2 linked regions of the Schizosaccharomyces pombe genome follow. Changing the gene in region 2 together with the main gene of any one other region gives a genetic interaction. Each region holds a gene or a part of one and is shown on either strand. Other genes may lie near its edges.

Region 1 (3,928 bases), on a different chromosome or scaffold from region 2:
CGCCATGTACTTAATAAGAAAATAAAGCGTTTACAGAGCCATTGGAAACAAGTGTTAGGTCGGTGGGAGGAAAATATTGCTCGGGTTGACAGATTGACTGAAATAGACAAAACTAAGAATGCTAAAAAATCGGAACCGTTTATCAAACGAAGTACACGTAAAGTGATGAGCAACTTTACAGCTGGTGATATAGTTCGTTCCGAAGAAGAGTTTTTGGAGATTTTAGCAAAGCTCGAGCAGCAAGAAAAAGAAGCAAGCAATGTATCTGAGGCCTCTCGAATTGCTACTATTCCTCCTATGATACTTTCAGAAGAAGAAGTGAAAAGTCAATACTTTAATGATCAGAGCCGGTTAGTAACAGATTGTCCTAAATTCTATCACTTTCAAAGTATGCCTGACATATGGAATGAAGAACAGCATTCCATTTTCGTTCAGCAATTTATTTTACATGGAAAAAAATTTGGTAAAATCGCAGAGGCAGTGCCAGGAAAAAACTCTAAAGAATGTGTATTACATTATTATCTGACAAAAAGGACAACTGACTATCGAGCTTTGGTAGCATCTGCAACAAAAACTAAGGGTCGTCGGCGAAAAAAGCTCCTTCCTTCTCAAAGAGGTGGAAAGAAAAAGTCCAAGGGTTCTGCTCTTATGGTTGATATTGAAGCTGCGGATATTAATAAAACGGAAGAGAATATCAATAATCAATTTCAAGAAGCTTCCGTCACTGCTGATAATATGAATACTTGGGATAATACGCCCTCTGTTGAAAATGTTGAATCTGCGAATGAGAATGTTAATAATCACAATGCTGATGAACAAATGGATGAAAAAATAAAGTCTTTGGTTGAAGGGAATAGTGCTTATGAAATTGAAAAAGGAGCTCAAGAGCCTGACCCTATGTCTATTGATATGACCGATAAGAGCGAGACTGTGTCTGGTTTCAAACATGATGTTGACGTTTATGATACAGCTGAAAATGAAGGGAATAACACATTACTGCAAATCAAAGAATCCGTTCATGAGAAAACGCCGACACAGGACGAGCCTATGGATATTAGCCAGGATACCATAAAGCAGGAGGATTACTATGAACCAAAGCTTGAACAACATTCTTCTTCCAAGCGTAACAGTATTTCAACTAGGAAGGAGGAGGATGCAGCTTCGGCTCTAGCGAACCTGTCTGCCGTTGGTCGTTCCATATCCGCCGTTGATGAGTCTGCTCACCAAGGGCACTTGCCTGGTTGGGATGAAAAAGAAGAAGCGTTAATATTTTCGTTGGCCCAAGGTATGAATCCAATGAAAATGCCTCTTACTCCAAGAAGAGCCTCCACTGGTCCTCGGCCACGCCCTACTTTCCAATTGACCGAAATTGATTCTCCAAATCGCCGTCGAGCTAGTGATTGCATTACACCGTCAATATCAAAGATACTGAAAATGGTGTCTGAAGATGCAAAAAGTCAACGCATAGACGAGTTATCAGTCGAGGATCAAGAGCATACAACACATTCATCTCATACGACATCAGACATAAACGCATTTCCGAATAGTCAATCATTTCCACGAGCATCAATTCATACATTAGCAGCATTGGGCGAAGACATTGTTGAACGCCAGTCCAAAAACGATAAAATTGTATGAGTTGTGACGTTTAGTGTTATTTAATGGCGTTATTTACCATTTGTTGTTATATGAAGGGGTTTTGTTTTCTAATTCGCAAATTGGTACCTCCTTACGTGATGCCTTACTCGACTTATCTCGAATTCTACTTTAATCCTTTTTTTTTTTTCTTTTGTATATATTTTCTATTACTTTTAATGTGAGAGTTCTATATGTGTCGGGTTATGATGGTGAGTTTTTATTAAAAAAGTAAAAACTCTATAATAACTTGACTGCCGATCGTTTACGAAATCTATCAAGAGACGAATTTTTTCAATCAATAAATCTTCATGTGAAATCTAGTTATTAGTCTCGGCGACGGAAACGCTTAATTAGTAGCGTTAGTAAGTTAATCTGTAATTGACACATAACAATTTATTCGATTTAATAATTTTTTGCATTTTTTGTTGCATGCAAAACCGACACCAAAAATAAATACCGAGTGGCTAAATGACCTCACTAAACAAATTAGCGATATACCCCGGTGAATGATATATGGTGTATTGTAATCATTCGGTAGTGGATTATTGCAAAATATAACTTGACATCAACCAACGACACCCGCTTCAAATTTCGGTGAGAGCTTGTTAAAGCTACTGAGAAAGTATACATTATTTAAGAATATCTTGATTGAACCTTGTGAAATACGAACTGCATATTCTTCCCTGGTGGTTGAGAAGAAGGTACTGAGAATTCCTTTAAATCAGTAACGGACATATATATTTTTGTTAAATTAACGGCACCCATAATAAATTGATTTTTAATGATTCAGACTGCATCGACAATTTCAAGCAATGGCGGAACGAATCAGGGAATGGAGTCCAGCAGCGCAAATTCACCGGAGATGAATGGGACACAAAATTCGATGTCCGTAGGGATGTCGGGCTCAGGTTCTTCACAAAATAGGAAAATCACACAGTTTAGTAATAAACTGTACAATATGGTGAACGACTCGTCGACAGATTCCTTAATTCGATGGAGCGACCGGGGTGATTCGTTTTTGGTTATAGGGCATGAAGATTTTGCTAAGCTGGTTCTTCCACGGTATTTCAAGCACAATAATTTTTCTAGTTTTGTTCGGCAATTAAACAGTAAGTGTCTTTAAAAAGTGAAGGTGTAACAAAAAGTCGAAGACAAGCTTTTACACAATTAATTTTTTTTATTATGAATGTGTCCCCCTACTTGTCTGCATTTATTCGAAGATATATCGGGCTTTGGAAAACTTTTGGATCAGTAAGCTTAACAACGACTATCTCTTTCGATTGTTCTTCCGTTCCACTTTTCGACGATATGAAAAATATTGCAATACTTCGGAATTATTGATTATTTATCTAATTAGTCTTTGTCAAGCCCTTTTCTATCTTTTCTTGTCCTTCGCATCTCATTTTATTACATTCATTTTTTTTTTTTTTTGGTTTACTAACTTTTTACAGTGTACGGCTTTCATAAAGTCCCTCATATACAGCAAGGTGTTTTACAATCCGATAGTCCCAACGAGCTTCTCGAGTTTGCAAATCCAAACTTTCAACGTGACCAACCTGAATTACTATGCCTAGTAACGCGAAAAAAGGCCGGTAGCCAACCCGTTGAAGAATCAAATACCAGTTTAGACATGTCTACGATATCCTCTGAGCTACAGAATATTCGCATCCAGCAGATGAATTTGTCGAACGAACTCAGTAGGATCCAAGTCGATAACGCAGCTCTTTGGCAGGAAAATATGGAAAATCGCGAGAGACAACGTCGCCATCAAGAGACGATTGATAAGATCCTTCGTTTTCTTGCCAGTGTATATTTGGATGGTAAACAGAAGCCACCTAGCAAAGTTATGCCCAAAAGTCGTCGGCTCTTATTAGAAGCTAAATATCCTACGGTTTCACCTACGAATGAACCGTCTGCGCATTCAAGGCCTTCACCTCAAGGTACTACTGCTAATTCTAGTAGTGCTAGTATCTCCTCTTTACACAATACGACTCCTGATGGAGAGGGCAAATACAGATCCGTTCAAAATGGACGAGCTTTAAATTATGTTTCTTCTTTTAATTCGGATTCGCATTCACCGAAGGATTATATTTCTCAAAGCTATACGAATGAGCCAGGACTTAAAAAGGAATCTGCCGATTCCTTTAACAATTCGATTGACTCATACATTTCTCCCAATCAATCACCTAATACGGATGTACCCTCATTAAATCGAGATGATACCACTGATCCTAAAGTCGTGAACACTGGTGATATTATCAATATGTTAGATGATGCCAATAGTATTGAA
Region 2 (3,928 bases):
ACCACAGTTCTGTGTATCGTTAAATAGATACCAAACTGCGTAGCTGATACTGAATGAGAAGTGTAGTAAATAATAAAAGAGGTTTGTGTCATTTATGAAGGTGTTTTTGAGGAAATAATTATTATAAATAATTGTTGTGTTGCATATAAACAGGATTTAAAGGTAAATAAGGGAAGAAAAAAGCTTAGCCAACTTGAGTTGACCCCATAAAAGAAACATATATTATTTATTTATTCGTTAATGTTTTTTAAACACAAAATGTAAACGATTCATTGATATTGAAGAATGTAATAGTAAGAAAAAAATTAATGAAATATTTAGAAAATACAAATCAATTGCAATCTCGTTATTTTTTTCTTGTGTAATAAAAAAAAAAAATTGTGCAGTGAAAATTAAACAAGTTTATTATGACAGTAGAATAAAACACTTATTAACCATCTATCCTACACAAAATGCATTAATTTCTTTCTTTTTAATTTTAGTCAATTATTTACTTTTGAATTCACTTCACATTCTCATTTACTTTTAGCCTTTTGTTTACTCCTTTACCTCCACATGGTTAGATTTCAGGTCAGTCCCCCACTTGGAGCTTTTTCAATACCATGTGGGAAAATCGATTATGGACTTTTAATCCCACCTGTGTATGCCCCCACATGGAACTTTCTATAACTTTCCATGGAAACCGGGGATGGAGCAATATGTTCAAAGAATAATGCTAGAAAGATTGTATGCTGAATCCCACAAGGTACGTGACCCCCACAAAATAATAAGCATACTTCCTATGGTAATAAAATAATAATATAGAGATTTTGCTACTTTCAAGACTTTGTCCCTTTCATGTAAATACAAATTATTTTTTTCACAAGTGCGTCGTAGTGTTAGGAAATAGAATTGAAGAAACATTAGAAACGTCAACTAAGACTGATGTTTATGAATCTCGTTTCTTTTCAACGTACTGTAGAATGTAGAAGAATGTAAACAAATAGATAAACTACCTTCTACTAAATATTTCATTATCTTCATTATCTTATGTAAAAAACGTGGTGCTAGCTTTCCGTTTGATCCAATATTATACTATACAATTGTTTTTATCTTCAACAGGATTCGATTACTTACGGGGAAAAATTAAGGTTAAATGGAAATGTGAATAAAATCATAATATTACTAAAATCCCTTTGCAACTATTTACAAACATCTTTCTGTTGACTTCTCAGTATTTAAATTGTTTTTCTTTTCATTCATCCATAAAAAACATATACATTCTTTAGTATTCTCTTTTTTTCTTCTCTTCCGTGCATACTAGAGTGTTTGCAACCTTCTTTACGAAAGATTCGCTATCAGTAGTTTTCTACTGTTTTCTTTTTTCCATAAATTTCGCTGGGTGGCTGCAAACAGAGAAATTTTCGTTTCCTTAATAACCTGTAGGGTCCGCCTCCTTCTTTGTGAATTGTAAAGAGGCAAACAATAGAAATTGATCGCCTAAACAAATTAAAACAAAAAAATTTAACTGCCGAAGTGCATTTTTATTCAATTTTTTTTTACGTTTTTCTCTGTTTCCCGGCTTTCGCGATATCGTTTGGCATTTGCATTTTTATTTATTTAGTCTTATTTACTGTACAAATTCAATCCTTTATTTTCCTATTGTTTCAAAGGGGAAAGAAATAAAAGGAAAGGAAATTTCTCATCTCTTGATTTTAACTCGATTTTCTATACTCGCAGTTTGAATCTCTGTGTGATTATTTCTTTTCTTTTGATCATTTTATATATTTTGAGCGAAATTTTTACGATTTTCTTACTCAGCACAACAATTACGATTTAAGGGAAATTTTGTTCTCGTATTTTCCTTTGACAACAACACACCAGCTACAAGAACATAAGAACAACACACTTTTCTTTCAACCATTTCCTACCACTTTTCACATTTTGATAATTTGTGAAAGGAAATTTAATAGAAAAGTATTGAAAAGAAACGATTATTTTGTGTTTCTTTCTAGAAAATTGGTGGATTGCTATTTTAGCGATAAAATTTTTTTTAAACTTATCTGAGAAAGTTTTTAAGGGAAATTTTTTTACTTTTTCCTCTTTTCTCACGAATTTGACTTATTGTTGAATCTTTGCTTTATTATAGACTCCATTAAAGTCTCCTCTAATATTTTATCTTCTTAATATTCCAATTTCTTTTTTATTTACCCCCTTTCTTCCACTGTCGTTTTTGTTCTCCTTACATATATTACAAGCATAATGGTGAAAGAAACTAAACTATACGAAGTCTTGAACGTTGATGTCACTGCTTCTCAAGCTGAATTGAAGAAAGCTTACCGCAAGCTTGCTTTAAAATATCATCCCGACAAAAACCCTAATGCCGGCGATAAGTTTAAGGAAATTAGCCGTGCTTATGAAATTCTTGCTGATGAAGAGAAACGTGCTACTTATGATCGTTTTGGTGAAGAAGGTTTACAAGGTGGTGGTGCCGATGGTGGTATGTCTGCTGATGACTTGTTTGCTTCCTTTTTTGGTGGTGGAATGTTTGGTGGTGGTATGCCCCGTGGTCCTCGCAAGGGCAAGGATCTTGTTCATACCATCAAGGTTACTTTGGAGGACCTCTATCGTGGTAAGACTACAAAGCTTGCTTTGCAAAAGAAGGTCATTTGCCCCAAGTGTAGCGGTCGTGGTGGCAAGGAAGGCTCTGTCAAATCTTGTGCCTCTTGTAATGGTAGCGGTGTCAAATTCATTACTCGTGCCATGGGTCCAATGATACAACGTATGCAAATGACCTGTCCTGATTGTAATGGTGCAGGTGAAACCATCCGCGATGAAGACCGTTGCAAAGAATGTGATGGTGCCAAGGTCATTTCTCAACGTAAAATCCTTACCGTACATGTTGAGAAGGGTATGCACAATGGTCAGAAGATTGTATTTAAGGAAGAAGGCGAGCAAGCTCCTGGAATCATTCCCGGTGATGTAATCTTTGTCATTGATCAAAAGGAACATCCTCGTTTCAAGCGCAGTGGTGATCATTTGTTTTATGAGGCTCATGTCGATTTACTCACTGCTTTGGCTGGTGGTCAAATTGTCGTCGAGCACCTGGACGACCGTTGGCTTACTATCCCCATCATCCCCGGAGAGTGCATTCGTCCCAATGAACTCAAAGTTCTTCCTGGTCAAGGTATGCTTTCTCAACGCCATCATCAACCTGGAAACCTTTACATTCGCTTCCATGTCGACTTTCCTGAACCCAACTTCGCTACCCCAGAACAGCTTGCATTGCTTGAAAAGGCTTTACCTCCCCGTAAGATTGAGAGCGCTCCCAAAAATGCTCACACTGAGGAATGTGTTTTGGCAACTGTCGATCCTACTGAGAAGGTTCGCATTGACAATAACGTGGACCCCACTACTGCCACTTCGATGGATGAAGATGAAGATGAAGAAGGTGGACACCCCGGTGTTCAATGTGCTCAACAGTAAACCTGTCTTATTCTGAATTTCTTTTCATTCATTTTTTCAAAATTGACAGCATTTGGATTCGTTATCCTTTTAAGAAGAGCCTAGACAATTATTTGTTTTCAGATGTTCCTAATCTTTTCCTTAGGTTTCGAGTTGCTATTGCATGTATACCTTATTCTCTTGTTCCTTTTTTTCATCCTGTAAACTCATTCCCCTCATTTGGTGTTAGTTTTCTTTTATCTCATAAAGATGTTTGATATCTAGCTTCGGCATATCTAACATACTTGCCTTTGATAGTTATTCTCTCGGTTCTTATCTTGGTCTTTATACTTCGTTAATACGCTGCTTCAATAAATATAATGACTGCAAAAAGTCGATTTATAAATATGAATACATAAATTAGATCTTGCTTGCTTTGTTTGTAAAATTTTAGTATTTGTGAGACAATTACAATTACGGCTTTTGGAAAAAGTAGTAAATAATT

The links.
Region 1: of mas5 (region 2) and hsf1, changing one suppresses a phenotype caused by changing the other (phenotypic suppression), as found in Schizosaccharomyces pombe (one study listed by BioGRID).

What each region holds. Positions count from the first base shown.
Region 1 is NC_003424.3:5,057,056-5,060,983, forward strand, and holds the start of hsf1 (DNA-binding transcription factor Hsf1), read left to right. Parts: upstream 1-2,199; 5' UTR 2,200-2,419; coding exon 2,420-2,747; exon of another isoform or gene 2,748-2,758; intron 2,759-2,903; exon of another isoform or gene 2,904-3,089; coding exon 3,090-3,928. Other genes in the region: Set3 complex SANT/Myb domain subunit Snt1, read left to right, coding at 1-1,638. UniProt on the Schizosaccharomyces pombe protein: DNA-binding protein that specifically binds heat shock promoter elements (HSE) and activates transcription. Also required for growth at normal temperatures.
Region 2 is NC_003423.3:1,079,478-1,083,405, forward strand, and holds mas5 (DNAJ domain-containing protein Mas5), read left to right. Parts: upstream 1-1,897; 5' UTR 1,898-2,241; coding exon 2,242-3,465; 3' UTR 3,466-3,870; downstream 3,871-3,928. UniProt on the Schizosaccharomyces pombe protein: Probably involved in mitochondrial protein import. Plays a role in microtubule cytoskeleton organization.